Regions from separate parts of the Mus musculus genome. Here all the other regions are reported to be linked to region 2. The links are microRNA targets in miRTarBase. Many come from high-throughput screens and were not tested one by one. Region 2 holds a microRNA gene; each other region holds the end of a gene's coding sequence.
Evidence for each region. The annotated mature microRNA mmu-miR-34b-5p reads AGGCAGUGUAAUUAGCUGAUUGU and lies in region 2 at 3,380-3,402, opposite strand. An mRNA with a match to its seed (bases 2 to 7 or 8) in the 3' UTR can be bound and repressed. Matches are read on the target gene's strand: a 7mer-m8 pairs with bases 2 to 8, a 7mer-A1 pairs with bases 2 to 7 and ends in A, and an 8mer does both.

Region 1 (7,613 bases), not on the chromosome of region 2:
ACCTGCCTCTGCCTCCCAAGTGCTGAGATTAAAGGCATGTACCACCATGCCAGGCTGTAGGTAAACCTTTTAAATGTCGTTTTCTCCCTGCGGTTTCCAAAGTTCAACTGCTCCTTTTCCTTCTGAACTCTGCTGCTTTCCAGTTTAGTCTATCTTCCCTAGAACAGCACGTGCTTCCAGGGCTAGAGTGTATACCAGTGTATCCTGGGCAGTGGGGAGAGCCAAGCTGGTGGCCCAGTTATCCCTGAGCAGGTTGAAGATTGATAAGGCTGATTCAGTGATGAAGAACAACGTCTTCAGGCTTTGGCCATTTGTAACACATTTTTGGGCCTCCTTGTTGGGAACTGTCATGTATAGTTCTTACTACAGAGTGTATTATAGCTGAGCCCAGTGATGCAGGCTGAAATGCCAATTACTTGAGAGGTGTGTGTGTGTGTGATCATCAAATTCAAAGCTTGCTTGGAATATTTACTGAATTCAGAGCCATTATGGACAACTTAGTATAAAGGCTAGAGAGAAAGCTCAGTGGTGGGTACTTGCTGAGTGTTATGAGAAACCCTAGAGTCAATACCCAACAGTTGAAGGAAAAACAAGGTACCAACAGCTGTTGGTGCATCCATCCTATCCATCTCTATTAGCCAACCTGTTGTTACAGCCATTTCAGTTCTTACCACGGGGGCTGTTGGCTCACGGAGCCAGTTTACCAGCTTCGATTTAGCTAGTGCACAGGACTATGGGAAGGAAGGCTACAGAATGAGAAGGGTCTTTGATTAACCATCTGAGTCACTTTAACTCTGGAACCCTGGATTAGATTTGTGATCAGCACAACTTCCTCTCCCAAACCCCTATGCCATAAAAAAGATCATTAATGTCATTTGGATCACCTCATCAGGCATGTGTCCTCTGTGCCCAGGCTGGCTGCTGGGAATGGGTTCCATCTGGGGTGATGGAAGGTGGTGTGAGAGCCTAACTACTTTTCTGGAATAGGACAGGAAACAAGAGTTCATCCTCAGAGTCCTGGAAGGGGGTGGCACTCCTGTGAATAGCATGACTCATCTTTGAGAGCCATCAGGAAGGAGATGGGTACATGAAGTCCACATCGACTCTTGTAAACTAGAAAAACCACACGGCACAAAATGAAAAGGGGAGGAAAAAAATCATTATTTTGTCTTATGTCCATCAGAATAGACAGATTAGAAGGTTGGTAACTCAAGACCCAAATGTTTACCAACCAAGAAAGTTTTCTTGTGGGCTCTCTCCATGATCTTTTACCCCCTTCTCCTTCCTTGCCAGCCTCTACCTTCCAAATGATTAGACTACATGAAAGACACTGGAATAAGGATTTACAGAGACAGAAACAAGCACCAACGAGTTACCAGAAAGCAGGTATCAAAAATAATGTTCCACAGAGCCCCAGAAGATAACAACAAACTGCTCGTGTGTAAGAGAGAAGGACAGAGACAGAAAAATGCACAGACATCAGGTCCCTTAGCAGCCTCCAATACCTAGAGTATTTTATTTTAGTGCTTAGGCAGGGACTGAGAAACAAACACATTGAACACAACTTATTGGTCTTCATCCCCAAGTGCAAGGGACTCTGGCGAGCCTCTCCTGGAGCTGAGGCCCTCCAAAGGTTGTTGTTCTTCACCAGCCAACTTTGGTGAGGGATGGAATCAGGAGTTGGAAGGAAAGGGAATAGCAAAAGTTGCAGAATTAAGATAGATTGCATTCTTCTGAAGGTGCCTGGAGATTGTGGGACCCAGTTTTTCCTTTCTGAGGAGTCCTAGGAGTCTCAACCAAGAAGTGTGTAGGTTGGGAGGACTGCTGCGGCTTTGCTCTTTGCCATGGATTCTTAGGCAGTGAGGAGGAGCTCAGGCTTTTTGCTTCTTAGAAGTCTGGATGAGCATCCCGAGGGGTTATAGCACCATGAGGAGGCTCAACCTTCCGAAATTGCCACCGAACCATGATCCCTTTTTTTTTTCTTTTTTTTTTGAGATGGTTGATCCTACTGTGAGGGGCCCAGATGTGCAACTGTAAACAGGGTCCCAGGCTCCAGAAGGAAAGTGTAGGCTTCGAGAGCACTTCACTAGATGGGAACGCACTTCCTGGAGGACAGCTATTTGAGGCCTGAACTAAATGCAGCAGTCAACTGAGAGAAGAGGGTGGTGGATCCCAGGAATAGAAATGAAGTCAAAGTATGCGAGGCCTCCAGAATCAACTTGCTGCAGACCCAAATAAAATTCTCGATGGTATCCATAGTTACCACAGAGACACTCTCTCTGTAGTCTGAGGCAGTTGGAATGGAAGAAGGCATTTCCTACTTTCCTTCTTCTTAAGTAGCCAGTAACATCCGTGTCAGAAGGCACTGGCTGGGCAGCACCAGAAAAAGAGGGTGAAAGGCTCAAGCGTTAGGATGTTAGCAAAAGTCTGAGCCTTGCCATGTACTGGAGCTTTGGATAGGGTTCAGAAGAGACCTATGTCCAAAGTAGGCCTATCCAGTCTTCCCTTCCTTCTAAGTTGGAACACCCAGCTCTGGGGGGGCCTTCTCATTCTGCACAGCAAAGACCTTAAGGCAGTGATTTCAGCACCATCCTCGGACAGTCAGCCTCTTCCCACCACAGAATTGCATATTTTGCAGCTGAGTTGGGGATCTTCACAGCTCGTGGAATTAGCAGCAGTAGCAATAACAGTCTCCAGAATAGAGGACCCTGTCATCCCTGGGGCTACCAGGTGAATATAGAAGCTTTTGCCGGGGGTGGATGGGTACAAAAGGGACAAGCTAGACCTTCTTGAGGATCTAAATGAAAATAGACTATTAAGAGTCAGGGGCACGTAATTCCTTGGTTGGGTGGAACAATGGCCCAGGTTAGTTTGCCTAAAGAATCTTGGTATAGATTCTGGTACGTCGTGTGCTACTAAGGAACCTGAAGAGCGTATTCTCAGGTCCAGACGTATAGTATATATCCCTGCACTGCAGAGCGCTAACACATTAGCCCATGAGGCAGCTCAACCTGGAATTTGGTTCCACTGGTTTCCAGAAATGACAGAAGTAGATTTTCCCACTCAAGACAAGCAAGATTCCACAGTTCTTCAGGCTTCATTTAAACTGATCCCCAACCTTCTGCCTACAACATATTGGAGATCTAACCAAAGGCTTCTTTTAATTGACTCCTTGGCCTTCACCTGCATCTCTCAGATGATTTTCAAGGTCCAGATAATAAAGGGATGGTTACTTAAAGGAGATTAACATTGCCTCCTAGACCTTGAACTTAAGGACCAAGTCTTGTCTTTTTTAAAAACGTAGTGACTGGTACTCGGTTAAATACTCAGTAAGTACTTGTCAAATGAAGGAGTGTGGGTTAGGAAGAGGGCAACTTCTGCAAGACGTAGATCTCTTTGGAAGGCAGATATTGGCCACCAAGTCAAACTCTTTGAGCCTTTTATTCTGATCTGAAGCAGGTCACACGGTTGCTCCATCTCCTATAAGTGACTATTCATCTGTCAAAAACAAATAATAAGGGCTAGCTAGGGAATCTTGATTCAGTCAGGCAAAGTGGCTACCATCCAAATAGTGCAGTGAGGGCCCTAACAGGCCATAAGACAGGCAGGTGTTTCCAGTATTTTGGTTTTCCTCCCAGTCCGAGATGAAGCTCGGGGTAGATCTACCATGCTGGAGGACGGCAGTTGAGCTTCCAGGTAGAACATGTGCTTTCTCAAAAGGAACCAAAGAGACTGAGTTCTTCTTCTCTTACTATTATGAGCCAATGTTTCTTGTCCCATGTAAGCCCCAAGGATGCCAGGGACAGTGGCATGGGAGGTGTCTAACTTGTACCAATATTATAGAATTAAATTCTCCAAAGAAAACCCACTTGGAAAGCAAAACTATCCCCTGGAAGGAAACCCAAGTATCTTATTGATGTGAGGAAACTGGAGGTGAGGGACAAATAAATAGGCAAATGGAAGGAAAAAATAGAAATAAAAATTTAAAAATTAAAAAGTAGGGTTTATTGACTTTTCATGCATGTTCAGTTAGAGGGCAGAAAGACAGCTTGTGGCCTTTCTTCGAAGGCTGTGATGTTACTCTTGTGGTCTGGTGACGTTTTAGACTGGCAGCCATCTTGCAATGTCCCCTCTTGTCATCCAGAAGGCAAGATCTGGCAGCTCTCGTTCCATCTTGGCAACTGGGCCCCTCCTTCCAGCTTCATCTTTTCCATTGCCGTTTTTACCTTCTACAGGTTGATTTACACATATATTTTTTGTTTTGTTTTGTTTTGTTTTTCTGTTAAACCACATGCTTCTCTTTTCTTGGCTCTGGCCAGGTCTCTGGCGGGGAGGTTGTTGGCAGTGTCGACAGAACTGGGAAGGGTTTGCAAGAAAGTCTGTAGAGCTTCCTGCCTCCCTTAGATTTGCCCACATGTGACTGTCTCAGAGGTGTTTGTGAGAACGAGCTTGGAACTGCTGTAGTTGGTTTGTTTGTTTTTGTTTGTCTGTTTATATCTTCCGAATCCCTCCCCAGAAAGCCCAAGAGTTTGTAGGTGAAACAAAACTTGAAGAAAAGACCAGAATCATCTTTTCTCCTAAGTCGTAAGAGGAGGCCAGCAAATGTAGTTAAGGGGCACGGAGTTCTCAAACTCCACCCCCTCCAATTCCTAGTAGGAAGTTCTCAAAGGTTCAGCACCGAGAACCCATCCCTCCTCCTGCCCTCTTCTTCCCTCCTGTTCTCTTGGCGAGGCTGGTGAGCCAGAGCTATGAAGGAAGAGGGCAGAGGAGAGCTAATGATGCTGAAGCCAGCCTTCTGCCCTCCAGGGTGACAGTGACTGCCGGGCCCTCAGAGTGTCGCCTGGAGGTTGGGGTCCAGGATAGTCTCTCGATCTGGTGACTCAATGTAGTTGGCAGCTTCTTGGAGTTTCAGTAGCATGGCCATCTAAAAAGAGGCAGACATGGGTGAATGCAGAGGGGGGTGCTAGGTCCTGCCTACAGGGAAACCCAACCCAACCCAACCCAACCCAACCCAACCCAACCAACCAAACCCTATAATCCTGTATCATCATGGGTCTGATCCTTGGTGTGTCTAAGAACATGGAGTTTAGAGATGGTTCATAAAGAAGTGACAACTGCTTCAATCCTGATTGTAACCCATGCACACGAACCATCCCCTGGGATACCTTTGTTATAAGAGCTGTCATGGGTGCAGAGGATACCAAAGAACAATACTTCCCAAGTTTCAAGATGCAGTCCAGGGAATGCTGGTCCATACCTACCAGCTTATACCGGGAGTACTGAGAGAAGCGCTGTAATTGGCCCTGGACTCTTGGAATTCCCTTGCAGTAGATTATACCCCAACAGCTAGGCTCTGTGCTATCCCCAGACACTGTGTCAAGTCTACCACCACCTCAGGGTACTCCTCTGCCCCTCCCTTTTATAGTTCAAGCTTCAGCTAAGTGAGCCTGGTTGGTGCTACTCACACAACTGGCGGGCTCTTCTGTCTATGTTATTCATCAGTCTTCCAACCAAAAAGTGTCCTGACATAGAGGACAGCTGTTTTCAAGGAAGTCAACATTTAAGTAAAACTATATTATGACTCCATTGGAATTATTCCCTACCGGAAAGGTGCAATGACAAGATCAACTGATTTGTGTGTGTTAAGTTTCATTGCATTCTGCTAACTTACCCTTTAACATGGTTTTAGTAATGGACATCCCCACAGTGGAGTAGGAAAGTCTGCGCTTCAGACACTCTGTCTATTACCAATGTAAAGGGGCAGTTCCTTGACTTAATTTGCATTTCCTCATTGTTAGACAGGTTGGAGATCTTATGTCCTTATGTCACCTGTATTTCCTCTAAACAAATGTCTCTTGTAGCTCTCACTCGGTCTTTGGTTTATAAGCTGTTTTTTTCTTCATGTAATTTACATTTATTTTTTTATTTTGTGTGTGTGTGTGTGTGTGTGTGTGTGTGTGTGTGTGTGTGTGAGAGAGAGAGAGACGCAGGTGAATGTGGCTGTGCACGAGCCATGTCATACAAGTGGAGGTCAATGGACAACTTTTGGGAGTCATTTCTCTCCTGAAACTGGATGTCAGCTTTGTGTGACAAATTCTTTTACCTGTTGAGCCATTTTGCTAGCCCTGAGAGCATCTTTTTACTTTACATATTGAAGATGCTAACTGTTTTGGCTAGATCCATTGAAGTATCTCCCCCTAGCTTACATTTAACAGACTCTATGCAGCTGATGAAATCTCAGCTGAATATCAGGGGAGGCAGAAGGGAAAGGGCTACAGCCCTTACAGTGCTATTTCCTTGGTTGATCAGAGTGTCTACATTTTTAATTTTTATTATTTTTAATTGTGTGTGTCTGCATGTAGGTATGTCCATGTGAACACAGTGCCCACACAGGTCAGCTGTGTCAGATCCCCGCAGAGCTGGAGTCCTAAGCTTAGATGTGTAATGAAGACTGAATCTGTGTTCTCTGCAAGAGCAGCAAATGCTTGCTTGTAAGAGCCGAGCCACCTCTCTAGCCTTTCTTTGGTCTATTTTCTTACACAGACTGCCTGAAACTTGGGTCTTGGCTAGAATATATTTTCCCAAATGTGTTGTTTGGCTTCAGCTAGGATGCAGGCATGAGGTCAACCCAAGAATCCTGATACTCAGAGTTCCTCGCTGGCCTCACTCTGGTCCTGGCTTTGCTGAAACCCTTCAATGCCTGAGCCCCATCAGCACATACGAAGAGTGGATGACCTCAGTTCTGTAATCCTCTGTGACTCTTTTTTAGAGGACTCACCAGGGGATCTGAGTCGAGGGAGTTTGGAGTGCTGTCTTTGACTGTCCTGTCCTCCGGGGGTGAGGCAGTGCTGTGGGGGCCCACAGAAGGCGGGGGCAGGTGGTAGAGCTTTGATTGGTCTTGTTGGGCCGACGGCCAGGGAAGAGTGTCTCGGACCCATTCCACCGGGTCTTCCCAAGCAGCTTTCTGTCCATGAACCTGGAGAGGAAAAAAACATGAACAATGAGAGGGGCGACAGAATGGAAGCTTACTATGTAGTCTCGCGGTGTTTCATAAAAAATACGGTCCCTGGAAATACATCCTTCCTTAAACAGAAAGACTTGAGATTTGCATCTATGTGGTTGAACTTCCCACAAAAGAAAACAAGTTGGTATAAACTTCCAGAAAAATTAAGAATAATTTCTCATATTGTCTTAAAGGTTTGTTTAGAGGTAGGGTTTCTAAAAACAAACAAACAAACAAACAAACAAACAAACAAACAAACAACAGTATCACTATGTGGTCCTGGCTGTCATGGTGCTTGCTATGTAATGCAGTCCAGACTGGCCTCAAACTCATAGCTTCCAGAGATTATAGTCATGTGCTACATACCTACTTAAACCTTAAAAATTGATCCTTTTTTTGCACTAGATAGTGCAGGTTGGCCTCAAATCTGTGATACTCACGCCTTGCCCATTTATCCACATGCTAGAATTAAAAGCATGTGAAACACCATGGCCTAAATTAACTAACAAAGTGTTTAGTTAGTTAGTTTTAGCTAGTTAGTTAGGATCTAGGAATTGAGACTAGGGACTTAAGTCTAGTAGACAAGTGATCTACCACTGAGCTGTATCTC
Region 2 (7,613 bases):
TTCATGATGTCAGGAACCCTCCCATACCTTTACATGATGAGTAAATCATAAGTGGAGATAAGAAACAGCCTCTAAAGAGAAAGTGCCTGTGGGACCAGGAATGCTGGGGAGAAAGTGCCTGTGGGGTCAGGGATGCTGGAGAGAAAGTGCCTGTGGGACCTGGGATGCTGGAGAAAAAGTGCCTGTGGGTTCAGGGATGCTGGAGAGAAAGTGCCTGTGGGGTCAGGGATGCTGGGGAGAAAGTGCCTGTGGGACCAGGGATGCTGGAGAGAAAGTGCCTGTGGGATCAGGGATGCTGGAGAGAAAGTGCCTGTGGGACCAGGGATGCTGGAGAAAAAGTGCCTGTGGGATCAGGGATGCTGGGGAGAAAGTGCCTGTGGGGTCAGGGATGCTGGAGAGAAAGTGCCTGTGGGGTCAGGGATGCTGGGGAGAAAGTGTCTGTGGGACCAGGGATGCTGGGGAGAAAGTCCCTGAGGGGTCAGGGATGCTGGAGAGAAAGTGCCTGTGGGACCAGGGATGCTGGGGAGAAAGTGCCTGTGGGACCAGGGATGCTGGAGAGAAAGTGCCTGTGGGGTCAGGGATGCTGGGGAGAAAGTGCCTGTGGGACCAGGGATGCTGGAGAGAAAGTGCCTGTGGGGTCAGGGATGCTGGGGAGAAAGTGCCTGTAGAGTCAGAAAGTTATCTTCTGGGTGAGTATGTGAGCCCTGAAGCAAGGTGTGGGATATGCAGCTTAGTTATATCACAGTGTAAATGTATACTTCTAGGAATTCTAAGATAATCTGGGGAGTCTACATATAAAAAGGCATTAAAACTTGATACTTACTGTCCTGATCAAAGGGAAAGGGCTGGACAGAACTTTTCTCTAAGAAATACAAATGAAGAGAAAGTTATTGGAAAAGCTGACATGAACAGTATTTTAATTTCATATACCTATTAATATTGAATAAGAACACTTTATACATCCTTGGCCCGAAGGCTTGTCAGTCAGGAAACAGGGTTCCTAAATTAGACTCTGCCAACAACTTTTTCTTGGGCTTTTAAATTTGAATTCAATTTTATGTAAATGCTTTCCTAATCTAAGCACCATTTCCTTAGATTAACCCATCCTCTTTGCCAAATAAAAGCCATCATTTAAGGGACTCTTAGAATTTTTTTTTTTTTTTAAGATTTTCATTTTATTTATGTGAGTACACTGTAGCTGTCTTCAGACACACCAGAAGAGGGCATCAGGTCCCATTACAGACGGTTGTGAGCCACCATGTGGTTGCTGGGAATTGAACTCAGGACCTCTGGAAAGCAGTCAGTGCTCTTAACTGCTGAGCCATTTCTCCAGCTCTAGAATGAATTTATATGTAACAATGAGATCCTTTACAGTGGAGAATTGCAGCAGTTTTAGAATTGTTTGTGTATTTGCATATACCTATTACTGCCTGTTTCTGCTTGTTTGTACTTCTCAATTGACTGACAATTAGACCAGGCAGTTTCCCCTTCCAGGAGGTAGCCTTGCTACTCACCTCTCAGAACGACTTTAGAGTTCCGCGCCACCGGTAGCCTCTGACTGCTGCCTCGGGTCAGCACGAGCTGAGATTCGGTAGTGGGGTACATGGACGCCCCGAGCCAAAACTGCTTAGCCAAATTGGCATCCTGCTCAGAGCAGCCGGTGAACACCAGTAATCCAGGGGAGCAGATTTCCTGGGATTCCTTCCTGCCGCTAGGACAGCCTCTGGGCCCCGTTTCCATGGTGACTCAGGACGCTTTCCTTAGCTCTGGCGTCCCGCCCCTACCGGAGAACCGTCCTGTTGGTAACTGCCACCACCGGAATGCCTGTGTTTCTTCTTCCGTAGATCTGGGGTTCCTCGAGGGCTTGTGGCCCATCAGCAGCTGGCTTCTGTCGAGGTCACAATTTTCGGGGCCAGTCAAGCCTTAAGAGTAAAAGCCTCAACTTTGTGATGTGTACAGTCCTGGACTGTCTCTTAGATCCTCAGCCAGCGTCTCCTCCTCCCCCAGATAGCCCAATAATGTGAGCTTTAAAGAGCGCCTTCCTCTTTTGGACAAGATTGCCAAGGCTTCGCACTCTTACCTCTGGGGAAATTCTCAGGTTTGCATTGATACATCTGCATAAAGCGCTAATCTAGAACTGGGCCGAGAAGTACCGGTGGATACAGCTTGTGTGATTTAAAACCTCTCAAATCTTTTATTACAGATATTAGGAAACCAGCTGGTTTTAAATCGTGTTCACTAATTATTCCCACGAAAAGTTGCCTAGAACGCAACTGTTAATACCTTAAAAAATATACCTGGTTAAGTGGGCTGAGTTCCCTTGCCCCATGGAAAATTATGAAAACATTTAACGTTCCCTTCCAGGTCACAATCATGTGTGAGACGTTTCCCTGGAGATTTTGTCTGTATAGCAACTAACCATTTAATGACTTTACGGGGTTGACAGGAGCTGAAATGGAGATCCTAAAGCCAGTTTTTGGAAAGGAAATGAACACGATTGCTGAGATTTTCGTGGCGCTTTATTTTTTAGAGTGTTATTAATATGTCAGGCAAAGTCCAAAGATTTATAATCACAAGTCAATATAATGACCAAATCAGCTAAGGGATAATTTCTATTTTTCCAATATATCTAAAAATCACAAAAAATGTACCCCACACAAATTGATACATTGTATACTTAGCAGCTAAGGGCTAGCGGTTCCCCCCCCCCCCCCAAACCACTAATAGTATGGTAAGAATATTTCCCTATGGCTCTGTCCTCACCAAAATGACGATTCACAGGAGGCTCAGTCGGAGGAATTTCAGTCTTTTTACCTGGCTGTGTGGTTAGTGATTGGTACTATTAGCAATCAGCTAACTACACTGCCTAGTAACTAGACTCAGAAAAAAGCATGCAGTCTTTAGCTGGTGCTCTCAGACTTTGGTGTGACCAGAGCAAATCGTCAGCCAAGCTGTGGTTGACTCTAGTCGCTGCCTTGGTGATAGCTTTCTCAGAAGTGGAAATCAGGCAGTGAATCACAGCAGCAGCAGGAACTGTTCTGGGGGGGGGGGGGGGGGGGCTCTTCCTGGCCTTTTTTTTTTTTTTTTTTTTTATGTTAAGGCCGGTGTATACCGATTCTCTTTACACATCACTGAACCGTTTTTGCTCTGGCTCTTACACACAGGTAGCCGAACGGTCCCTAAAGGAGGCCGCCGGTCTCCGAGGGTTACTTGCACTTAGACCTCGTGCTCCCGGCCCTTTGCTGACGCATCCTGGCTCCGGCCTCGGCTTTCTGCGGAGTCAGTGGGGCTGCAGCGCTGGCTTCTCCTCCCGCGGGCGGCGGGTGATGCTGTGCCTTGTTTTGATGGCAGTGGAGTTAGTGATTGTCAGCACCGCACTACAATCAGCTAATTACACTGCCTACAAACCGAGCACCGGGCGCCCGCCACTGCAGCTCCCGAGGGTCGGGCCCCTCGCCCCCTTTCGCCACGGTCGACAGGCGAGGGCGGCGGAGCGAGAGGTGCCTCAGGCTCCCGAGGCCCCTCCACACCCAGCAGGGCCGCGCGCGACCCCAGGTGAACCCCCAGGCGCTGAGGCCCCCTGTCCCCGCCGTCCCCCCCGAGACCCCCGACTCAGCCCGGACCCCAGGGCATCCGGCCCGAGTCCTTCTTCCCGCAAGCCGGGTCTGACCCGCCTCCAACAACTTCTTCACGGCTTCCAGACCCAAGTCTAGAGCCGGTTCTGTCCAGCCCGCGCGCCCCGCAGCTCCTACTGGCCGAGTGACCGTGGCTCAGCGACCAACCGCCCTTGGAACCCCGAGGCCGAGGGGGCGGGGCGAGTGGGGGAGGGGTGGCAGAAGCTACCAGAAGGGGCAATGGGAGGGCTCCTGCAGAGCCTCCTGGGAAGGGGCCGGGGAGATGGAGAGACAGATTCTTGAGAAGTTTATCTTCACAGTGTAGTTACTGCTACATCGAAGAAAGAAGCGCAGAGACCTACATCCATCTCTCCTTCCCAATATATTGCCCAAGAAGCCCCAGGCCTCCTCACTGTTCATATGCCCATTCTCAGAAACCGCTTCCCAGGCGTCTCATCTGGAGCCTTCCTGCCTGAGCAGGCCTGGGCACTCATACCTGCAGGATTGCCCTTGCCTGTACCCAAGTTCTTTCTTAGGACTACCTCTTACAGGGCCATACAGTGAAGTGTGGGCCACTCTTCTGGTCAAACATTGAACCAACACCCTTGTTGGTAGGTCAAAGTTGTGGCCCTTATAAGATCAAAGACACAGTTTTGATGATCTCCCCGTGAGCCTTGAGGATATCTAGTCTCACTTTGGGCTCCTGTTTTATTTAAATGTTACAAATCCAGCACCTAACAGGCGTTTGTCTTACTACCCATCAGACAGTCTAGGTGGTAACAAAATGTGAACACATTATTTATTACTCCAGACAGTATAAAGTTGCTAAACTGATAGATTTTCCTAATAGAAAAAAACAGGTATGGGTGGGGGTGGGAGGTGTGCCAACAAGAGCTGACAGACACCATCATGGAGGAGGTGAGAGTTCAGGTAGATCCTTGAAGCAAGGGTAGATTTGGACATTAAGGATGAGGTCTGTAGAAGCCCGAGAAGCCATATCTTCTGTCAGTTACATTCCCCTTGTTTTTGCTATTTTATATCTGATAACGGGGTGCGTGTTTGTGTATATTGGGAATAGGAGGCGCTGAGGGGACAGCATTTCTGCGCCATCTTCACTAATATTTCTTTCCTTTAGTCTTTCCTCTCCTTTCCTTTAATTAATTGAGCCCAGAGAGGATATACAGTATTCTCTGATTGCAAACTTTGTGGAATTCAGTAGGAAGTAGCCGTCCCAGACTGTGGTCTTCCTGTATGCTGTATGACACCCATTTGTATTGATCCAACAGTCTTGCAGTCTACAAAGGGACATTTCTTAGCTATACACTGATACCTGTAAGCCCAGCAAATGGTCTTGTAGATGCCACTAATTACATGAATATATGCCAATCATCAGGAACATTCAACACAAATTCCAAGTGGAAACCATTAAAACCCAAGAACTTCCCAAGAATAAACTTGTGTATATTTTAACATTATCTTTGAAAGTAAAAGACAATGTTTTTTTCCTTCAGAGTCATTGTTTTATGAAGGCTTAAGTGAAAGGAAAATGAAGTAGAAAATGCCAGATTATTATAAAATTAACTTATGAAAGACATTTGTAAATAACTATCTTGTATTCAGTCTTCTTGTATTTGAGAAAAGTATAATGTATCCTACAAAAGGTCATTTAAACGTTCAAATATAAATAAAAGTAGTAGAAATAGCCTCCATCCCATAAACACTATGAAGAGTTACAAGTTTTAGGAGGACATCATTAAAAAATCATTTATTTTGCATTTTGCTCAATTTCACTCCATGTGTCATGCTTCCACCCAGCTTAGGGATTTTCTCTATTAGTAGCATCTTAAATATCTTACCTGAGTTTTATTGCTTCCATCCAAAGCTATCATTGCATAAACTGTCTTGAAATTTAGACTAAATTTTTTTCTTCAATGATAAAAAGTAAAATGATGAAAAAAAAATGCGTGTGCCCTAGTTCTGTTAGAAAGCAACAATAGAAAAGAATGTCTGTTCTTAGGGTTGCTGTTGATCCTGCCCACAGTTACTAGAGAAACTCCAAGGATCTTATTGCATCTGCTGGTCATGCCTAGGCATGTCTAGAGACCAGGGAGACTCATGTTTTAATCTAAGTAAGAATGCCTGTGGTGTGGTTAAAATGCCCAAGCAGACCATTACATTTGGTTAGATAGATCCAGGAAGGCACCTTGAGGAGGAGCTGTTTACTGCTTTAATTTCTGGGTTTTTGTTGATCTGGGAGATGGGGTAGGACCTTTGAGGAGATGGGTTGATAGTATTGACCGGAAGGAAACCATGAAAAGTATCAAAAACAAGAACTTCCTGCGTGAATCTGACAAATTTATCTTGACTTAATTTATGACTCCTGTAAAAGGGCCATCGAGAGATGACTTCCTCCTGTCAGTACACACAGCACATCGTCTGTACACGTCCTCTTTGTTTTTAGATAGGGACTCAATTAGCTCAGGCTGGCCTTGAGCTCTTGTTCTTCTTGATACAACCTCCCAGTTGCAGGCTATTTCTGCAGCATTTGAAGGTTCTTGTTAGGGAGGAAAGAATGAAGGACACTAATTAGAAAGCAATGATCTTTAGCCACTTCTTTTAAAACATTTCAAAAATGCATACTTTCCTAGGAAATAAAACCATGCATTTTTTTATGCAGACTATCAAATGTCAGATGACCATATTAATATTCACGATAGTATGCTTAGGAACTAGTTTATAAGTTGAAGCAAGGCTGAGTTGAAGTCAATTTAGCCCTTGAATAATTACAAATCAATGAATCTGTTTAATCATAGTGGGTTGTCATCTGAGCTAGAATGAACTGCCAGCAGCTCTATACCTCTGGTTTCAACTCAATGAACTCTCATTAGGAAAAGTTCTCAATTAGCTTCTTGTTTCCATTTCTCAATTAACCAATAGTTTTGCTTTCAGTATCAAATGTTAATTTACTTTTTTAGGAACAATCTAACAAAAATAGCTTCCTAGTTAAGGTTGATGGAGCTCTTACTCCAGAAACAATTCTTGTCTATTTCTCATCTCTAGGGAACAACAGTCTCCAGAGATGTGGTTTAATTGGAGGGATAGACAGTTTGTTTGTATAGATAATTAATATAGTTAAATTATGTTAATCATATTAATGCATCATAATATTAATATATAAATTATTATATTAATGCATAAAATGTTTAGATAATATATTTATATCACATAAAATATATTGAATGTCTAAGTACTTAGATTACTAAGTGCTTAAGAAATCTTGAATTCGAGTGCTGTTATTGTTAACATTTGGGGAAAACATAATTAAAAAGCACCAAAATATGGGACAAAAATAGGGCTATATAGAAAAAAAAACCAGCATTGACTGAATTATAGTAGGAGGTAGGCATGAGAGACTAGAAACGTTAGCGTAGGGAGTTTGAATATCATTCTGGCTCTCGGAGAGCCCCTGATGCCTACAAAGTGTATGTTGTTTTATGGGGATTAAAGTATCATGGATTACAGAGGGGGCTGAGCTTCAATGTAGGAGATGATTTTTAACAGATGCACATATGGAATGATAGAGGAAATACAGAATAAGGGATTTTGTGAAAGAAAATGTTTAGGACTTGATGTCTGATTAACCATTTAACAAGATCAGCTGCTAACTCCAGGGACAAATTTGAGGAGCTGAGGGAAACAGAATCAGAGGATGTTTATAACGAGTTGAGTTTGGGTCTAAGCAAGGCTGGGTTTGGGCTATGGATGAACATCATAATGAAGGTAAGTATTTAAACTGGAATTCTGGAAAGAAGTCAGAATTAAGAAGAGGGATTAGCAGTTTTCTGAAACTGTGAAAATTAAATCAAAGAGTTGAACAAAGTCCATGAAGGGTGTGGTAGCTTATTCTTGCTTGTTATAGTTCTTTCAGGAAGGAGGAAGTAAGTGACCAACAGTGGAATGCCCTCCTCTCCTTTTTAATCCTGGAATGGAACCCAGATA
Region 3 (7,613 bases), not on the chromosome of region 2:
CCTGCTTCTGCATGCCCGTGAGCACAAGGACAAGGGGCTTGTCATGCAGTGCTCACATTTGGTCATGAGGCCTGTAGCCCTTGACCAGATGGTGGGGCAGCCAGACATCACACCCTTGCTGCCTGTGGCTGTCCCACCTGTTCCTGGACCTTTGGCCTTGCCTGTTTTGGGCAAGGGGGAGGGGGCTGTCACTTCCTCTACCATCACTACAGTTGCCACTGAAGCTCCTGTGCTGCCACTCCCAACAGAGCCCCCTGCTCCCCCTACTGCCTCTGTTTACACGTGCTTTCGCTGTCTGGAGTGCAAAGAGCAGTGCCGGGACAAGGCTGGCATGGCAGCCCATTTCCAGCAGCTGGGCCCTCCTGCACTCGGGTCTACCAGCAATGTGAGTTGTTTTTCATTTTTCTTCTCTTGGGGAAGGGACAGCCAGATTCTATGGAGGTGAAAATTCAAAGTAATAGGTACAGGGCACCCCTCATTAATTGACCTTGTTTAACCTCTTGACAGGTGTGTCCGTCCTGCCCCATGATGCTCCCCAATCGCTGCAGCTTCAGTGCCCACCAGCGCACACATAAGAATCGAGCCCCCCATGTGTGTCCCGAGTGTGGGGGTAACTTCCTACAAGCTAATTTTCAGACCCATCTTCGAGAGGCCTGTCTGCATTTCTCTCGCCGTGTAGGATACAGGTGCCTCATGCTCAACTCCTCATTAGAGCTTTAGGATCTGTTTGTTAGCAGTAATTTATTTTAAAGATTTATTTATTTATTTAATGTGAGTACACTGTAGTTGTCTTTAGACACAGCAGAAGAAGGCATCAGATCTCATTACAGATGGTTGTGAGCCGCCACGTGATTGCTGGGGACCTCCAGAAGAGCAGTCAGTGCTCTTGACCACTAAGCCATCTTTCCAACCCAGCAGTAATCTTTTTAGATGGCTTCTCAAGGAGAACCATCATTTTTCCTATTGTGTTGACACACCCTACCCCTCCTGCTATCAAGTATGCATTATGGGAACAGTGGAGAGCAGGGTCCCAGGTGGAATCCCAGCTCTGCCTTCTCAGACCTCTCTTGGGGACTGAGCCTCCTTCCTTCCTCTGTCTTGCTCATGCTCCTTTGTTGATTTCCTTTTGAAATTTTCCTTGTCTTCAAGAACAAGAGTGGTGCTTGAGATGCCCCTACCTCACTGTCGTATCTCCCACTTCCTCTCCAAGGTGCCCTAGCTGTGCAGTGGTGTTTGGGGGTGTGAACTCCATCAAGTCCCACATCCAGGCATCACACTGCGAAGTTTTCCACAAGTGCCCCATCTGCCCCATGGCCTTCAAGTCTGCACCCAGCGCCCATGCCCACCTCTACTCCCAGCATCCAAGCTTCCTCACCCAGCAAGCCAAGTGAGACCTGGGGAGGGAGCATGGTGGTGAGGTAGATTGGTGAAGAGGTGGAGGGTGGTGGACTGCTATCACCCATGTTTATACTGACCCTTCTGCCCCCACAGGCTGATCTATAAGTGTGCCATGTGTGATACGGTCTTCACTCACAAACCCCTCCTCTCCTCACACTTTGACCAGCACTTACTGCCCCAGCGTGTCAGTGTCTTTAAGTGCCCGTCTTGTCCTCTGCTTTTTGCCCAAAAAAGAACCATGCTGGAGCATCTCAAGGTACAGGAGGAACAAAGGCTAGGGAATGGCTACTGGCTAGCTGTGCTGACCTGACCTGGGGTCAGAGAACCCTCTGGCAGTGGGGAGCAGGGGTGAAGTGAGGACTTTGGCAAAGCCAGGCTCTCTTCCACCTAGCCATCTTCCTTGTCTTCTTATAGAACACTCACCAGTCTGGACGTGTGGGGGAAGAGGCAGTTGGGAAAGGGGCTGGAGGTGCCCTTTTGACCCCCAAGACTGAGCCTGAGGAGCTGGCTGTGTCTCAGGCAGAGGCAGCCCCTGCTACTGAGGAGTCTTCCTCATCTTCTGAAGAGGAGCTGCCTAGCTCCCCTGAGCCACCCCGACCAACCAAAAGAGCCCGACGAGGAGAACTGGGAAACAAAGGCATCAAAGGTGGGGGTGGGGGGCCTGGGGGCTGGACTTGTGGCCTTTGTCACTCCTGGTGTCCTGAGCGTGACGAGTATGTGACTCACATGAAGAAGGAACATGGTAAGGTGAGCTGGGTTTTACTCTGGGAAAGGTGGGACTGGAAAGTAGCCTTGGGGTTGACCTGAGTGACTGAAAGTTTCCACCCTTTGCTTTCTAGTCAGTGAAAAAGTTCCCCTGTCGCCTGTGTGAGCGCTCCTTTTGCTCTGCCCCAAGCCTGAGGCGCCATGTCAGGGTCAACCATGAGGGAATCAAGCGAGTTTACCCATGCAGGTAACCCTTACTCATTCCCTCGCAGAGTACCTGGCTACCTGTCTCTTTGAGGGATCTGAAGCTTGAGGCCACCTTCTGCTGTGGTAGCCTTCCTTCTCTCAAGAGCTATGGGTCTTGGTCTTTGCATGTGCCTCTGGTGCCATCTTGCCCACTTTACCTCTGCTAGGTATTGTACAGAGGGAAAGCGCACCTTCAGTAGTCGCCTGATCCTGGAGAAGCATGTTCAGGTCCGGCACGGCTTGCCTCTTGGGACCCAGTCTTCTGGCCGAGGAGGCTCCCTGGCTCGAGGCTCTGGTGGCAGAGCCCAGGTAAGAAAAGGCCTTCCTTATGTCATGGGATTGAGAAACTAGTGAGACCTTGGTCTCAGGAAACCAGGGTGATGGTGAGGCCCGGTGTCTTCCACTTTTCTCCAGGGGCCAGGACGGAAACGCCGCCAGTCTTCTGACTCATGCAGTGAGGAGCCTGACAGTACAACACCACCAGCCAAGTCCCTGAGGGGTGGCCCTGGGTCAGGAGGCCACGGTCCTCTGCGCTATAGAAGCAGTGGCTCAGCAGAACAGAGCCTTGTGGGGTTGAGGGTGGATGGTGGCACTCAGCAGTGCCTTGACTGTGGCTTGTGCTTTGCTTCCCCTGGTTCCCTGAGCCGCCACCGGTTCATTAGCCACAAGAAGAGACGGGCCGGGGGTAAGGCCAGTGTCCTGGGGCTGGGGGATGGGGAAGAAGCAGCTCCTCCTTTACGCTCTGACCCAGAGGGTGGAGACTCACCTTTGCCTGCTCCTGGAGACCCTCTGACTTGTAAGGTCTGTGGCAAGAGCTGTGACAGCCCTCTAAACCTCAAGACCCATTTCCGCACGCATGGCATGGCATTCATCAGGGCCCGGCAGGGAGGCAGTGGGGACAACTAGGTCCCCAGCCTCAGACTGACCAGGCCTCTTCCCTGGGACTTGGGTTTCACTGCTGCTGTCACCTCCCTGGGCTGGGAGTTTAACATTTACTTCTTTCTCTATCCCTGAGGGACAGGCTTTTGAGGATTCTAGTGACTTGCACCCCCTTCCCTCTAGGGTTTGGCCCCTAGGTTCTACTTAAGTGGGCCTTCTTTTTCCTTTCTGAATCCAACACTAATGCTCCTGCTGCAGACTCCCAGTAACTGTGGGGGGAGGGGGGAGGGGACCTTGGCAAGCCTGCTAGACAGGCATAGGGATGGACTGAAGGATGTACAGGGTCTAGCTTCTACCCCTCTACTAGAGTTCTTCAGGCACAGACCAGTATTTCTTCTTCTGGGCTGGGTTCTGTCCTAGTATCCCCTCCTCCAACACTCATTGGCACTAACACCCCCACCCCAATCCCTGCAGTGCCTTCCATTTGTCTTTTCCCCCAGAAATTTAGGGGTGGGGGGTTGGTGGGGATGAGTCCTGTCAAGTAGGTTCCAGGGAGAGGAGAGGACAGGCTCTCAGGAATCCTTTATTCTTGTAGTAGTAGTAATACTAACAGTGGGAGAAACAGGAGGGAGAAAACCAGACCATTAAAACTGCTTGTGGTTTAATCCCCATTCAGGCTTTTCTTTTTATGTGAGTTGGATAATGTGTACTCATAGGGAGGGGCGAGTCAGAACTGGGGAAGCCCTTCTCAGGGAAGAGGCAGTATTGACGAAGACAGATGGAAAAAGCAATCTTCCTTCATCTTGTGTGTTTGGTGCCTTTTGTATGCTGGACTTAACCCTTTCCAAGCACTCCTCCCCCAGAAGCAACAAGACAGATGGCTAACTAAGGATTTTATTTCAAACAAAAATTAAAAAAAAAAAAAAAAAAAAAAAAAAGCTGTTTCCCTGGATGTGAGGAAAGGATCAGGGTAAGAAATTTCCCCATGGCTAAGCCAGTACCCTCAATACATCAGAGGGTTTTGTCAGTTCTCCCTTCCTTACCCCCATGATGGGGACCTCAGCAAGTGCAGGACCCACTTGTCGGGAATGTGGGCCAGGGGTCAGCCCCCAGGAGGGGACTGAGTTAGGCAGCAGCATGGCCAAACATAGGATTAAGTCCTAAGTACCAAGAACCTACTCCTCCCAGTTTACTGGGACCCAGGGAAAATAAAAGATGGTTTGTAGAAAACCTCTGAGACCCCTGAGGGGAAGAAGACTCCAGTCCTCCTCATGTTCATCACCTCTGTTCTCTGGAGGGCAGTGAGTCCTGGGATCTGTCAGGTGGTAATACTGACACAGCAAGAGGTGGGGAAGCCCCAGCAAGTCTGGACCCCAAGGTTGGCTCTCCTACCCTCTGGCAAGCTCTCATGGTTACCACATGATCCTTTGTATTTCTTGCCTTCCATTTCCCTTGGGTAGGTGGTTAGGTAGGTGGGGTTTTGTGATTTGGGTTTTCTTAGGCAAGGGTCCTTCTAAGGAGGATGCCTTCAGTCCCACCACTTCTAGGCCTGAAAATGGTGTCACATGATGCCATTGGTGAGGTACTGGAAGCCATCGTAGAGTTTGGTGGTGATGGACCTCATGCTGCCGTCCACCATCTGCTCCACCAGCAGCTGCAGCTGCTCCTCAGTCATGCTCATGTGGAACCTCTCTTTGAGGTTGCGAATGGTGCTGGAGCCATGGAAGCAAGGAAGCTGAGAACCTGGGGGGAAGCAGTGGAAATTAAGGGTCATAGACAATTAGGAAGGCAGCCCAGTAGTTAGTGGCCACAAGGAAAAGAGCTAGAGTACCCCTTCCCTCCCCACCACTGGGATCCTTGATGGTACAGAGCAATTTTGCTTGTGCAGAGAAAAGCAATCAGGAAGCCTTGTTTTTAGTCCGTCCTCAGTCCTCATCCCATACTCCTTAGTTTCTCTGTAGGAAGAGTATGTGGGCATGATAGGAAAAGGCAAGCCAGCCCACAACTTCCCCCAGTAAGCATTGGAGAGATGTCTTTGGGCCCAGAGGGAAGGCTGGGAAGAGCCTCTGGGAATGGGCCCTGCACTTATCTGGTTGCAGGCCTCTGCCTATGCTAGATCAGACACTCACAGATGACCTGGGCCACCGTCACCACGGGGCCAGACAGAGATGCTCCCGAGCAACGACGGCAACCTGTGGGGTAGGGGCAAGGATGGGGAGGAGGAGACTGGCAGCTTAGGTAGGGTAAATATCTGGGGTGGGGGGGATAGAAGGGTCCCAGAGGAACTGGAAGAGGAGGGAGTCCTGTGCAAAAAAACTGAGGGACCAAGGAAGAGGCAAAGTGAAAGAAAAGAGAGGCAGGAAAAATGAGAGCAGCAGAGGTTAGTAGGAAGTGGTAGTGGCCGAGGTCAGGTCAGTCAGGCCAAGTGTGATGGGAGAGAAGTGAGTAGAAGTAGCAGAGAAGGAAGAAGACTGAGAAATACAATTGAATGGGAGAATGGGAAAGCCAGGAGGCTGAAAGTGGCTGTTTCCCCATGAGGATACCTAAGAGCTTTCTGCTGTTCCTTTTCTCCTGCCCCACCCCCAAAACCAGTTCTGCCAGGGTGAAGAATGTTTTAAAGGGGAAATGGAGACCCCCTGAGAAATGTTCCCCCACCTAAGTCTTGAGGTGGAGTTCAACTTCCTAAAAGTTCTAAGTGCAGGCAACCCAACCTGAGTCCCCCAGGCCAGGGCCCTCCTGAGCCACACCTTGCTGCATGATCTCCACAATCTGTACCACCTTGTCCATGTGCTTCCGAGCAGCAATCAGCCCTTGCAGCATGAGCATCTTGTAGTAGTTGAACATATCACCGTTCAGGCCACCCATTACCTGGAAGCAAGGAGAGTGTCTGTGTGCACAGAGAAATTCTGGTGGGTCCTTTCTGTAGGCCTCAGAGCTTCCTCTCTTAAGGTAATCATGGTAAATTTCCTTATCACTATCTCCACATTTTCTTTCATAAGCTCCCAGGCAATCCTGCCTCGTCTTGACTTATTGCCATTTCTGTTCTGTTCCTAATTTGGGGGAGTCCATCAGCTCCTCTCAGAGGAAGAACACAGTTACCCTTGGAAGCACCTCTCTTTTTTGACTCACATCCACAAATTCTGTGGTCAGCTTAAAGGCTGATGTCTCGAAGCCCAGGTTTCGGGGTGAGCTGGAAAGGATGAAGCCAAAGTCGATGTGGATGATGTGACCTTCTGCGTCCAGAAGGATGTTCCCGTTGTGCCTGAGGAAGAGGCAACAGTAAGTGTGGCTTAGGCTGGATCTCAAGCTACAACACTGGCCTCTTCATACCGAACAGGGGAGGCCCCAGCCATGTTTCCTGTTGCTTACAAGTCTGGGTCAATTTCCTAGGATCTAAAACTAGTAACAAAAGGAAGTTAGGAAACTATGAAGAATGACTGGGGTATGAAATTCAGTTATTACCAGCTTAATAAAAATAGTTTTAAGATTATCAAAAGGCTGAGGACGGTAGAGTGGTTGCCTATAACGCTCTTTTCTAGCTTTGTTCCCTAACACAACATAAACTGAGTGTGAATAACGTCACATGCCTATAACTCTAGCACCTGGGAAGCAGAGGCTAGAAGATCCTAAACTAAGGGTCAGTCTCAAATACAGAGGCCAGACTGACGCATGCTATTTTCTCCCGAATTGTACTTCTAGTACTCAGACTTGACTCTGACTTTAAGTAGTAAGCACACAGATAAGAAGAAAAGGTCTCTGAGGCTCCAGCAGCTAGCTGTCTGAATGAGGGAAGGCCCTCATTCAGACTCAGTTTAAGATAGATAGGGTCTCACTATGCAGCCTCAAATGGTCTGATACTCATATATAGTACCAAATTGACCTCAAACTCAGTCACCTGCCTCTACCTCCTGTGTGCTGGGATTATTTTAATTCTTAATCAGTCCATGGCAGAACCAAAGTCCCATCAGTAGAGAGCAACAAATAGTTTATGTGGGTCAACACAGGTGTATTTGTATGTGAAGGCCAGAGGTCAATGTAAGGCATTGTTCCTGGTAGCTTTTTTTTTTTTTTTTTTTTTTTTTTTTTTTAAACTTGGGATCCCTAGGGCAGCTTGCACAGGAAATCCTTTGGTTTCTGCTTCCCCATCTGGTATTAAAGTGTGCCATCACACCAGGATTTTTTGTTTTGTTTTCTGAAACAGGGTTTCTCTGTATAGCCCTGGCTGTCTTGGAACTCATTCTGTAGAGCAGGCTGGCCTCAAACTCAGAAATCCGCCTGCCTCTGCCTCCCAAGTGCCAGGATTAAAGGCATGCACCACCATGCCTGGCCACACCAGGATTTTTATGCGGGTTCTGGGGATTGAACTCAGGTACTCATGATTTTAT

Region 1: miRTarBase lists Nav1 as a target of mmu-miR-34b-5p. Seed matches in the 3' UTR shown: 8mer at 4,340-4,347, 7mer-m8 at 2,572-2,578, 7mer-m8 at 1,856-1,862 and 7mer-m8 at 208-214.
Region 3: miRTarBase lists Pi4kb as a target of mmu-miR-34b-5p. Seed matches in the 3' UTR shown: 7mer-m8 at 4,526-4,532.

The regions. Positions count from the first base shown.
Region 1 is chr1:135,436,856-135,444,468 of GRCm38, forward strand. Nav1 (neuron navigator 1) reads right to left here. Exons shown (of 30, transcript NM_173437.2): 29 at 6,779-6,976; 30 at 1-4,924. The coding sequence ends at 4,829. Among named protein-coding and RNA genes, the nearest start is that of Ipo9, 10 kb to the left of the region's middle.
Region 2 is chr9:51,100,231-51,107,843 of GRCm38, forward strand. It overlaps Mir34b (microRNA 34b), which reads right to left and starts at 3,415; the gene lies at 3,332-3,415. It overlaps Mir34c (microRNA 34c), which reads right to left and starts at 2,880; the gene lies at 2,804-2,880. Hoatz (HOATZ cilia and flagella associated protein) reads right to left here and starts at 1,848. Exons shown (of 6, transcript NM_177702.4): 1 at 1,515-1,848; 2 at 824-862. The coding sequence starts at 1,740. It also overlaps a transcript of Btg4 not described here.
Region 3 is chr3:95,003,117-95,010,729 of GRCm38, reverse strand. Pi4kb (phosphatidylinositol 4-kinase beta) reads right to left here. Exons shown (of 11, transcript NM_175356.3): 9 at 6,358-6,490; 10 at 5,976-6,096; 11 at 3,793-4,971. The coding sequence ends at 4,790. It overlaps Zfp687 (zinc finger protein 687), which reads left to right. Exons shown (of 9, transcript NM_001357863.1): 2 at 1-385; 3 at 508-686; 4 at 1,211-1,387; 5 at 1,492-1,654; 6 at 1,813-2,145; 7 at 2,238-2,350; 8 at 2,517-2,658; 9 at 2,764-4,140. The coding sequence ends at 3,255. Mir7013 (microRNA 7013) reads right to left here and starts at 6,562; the gene lies at 6,491-6,562.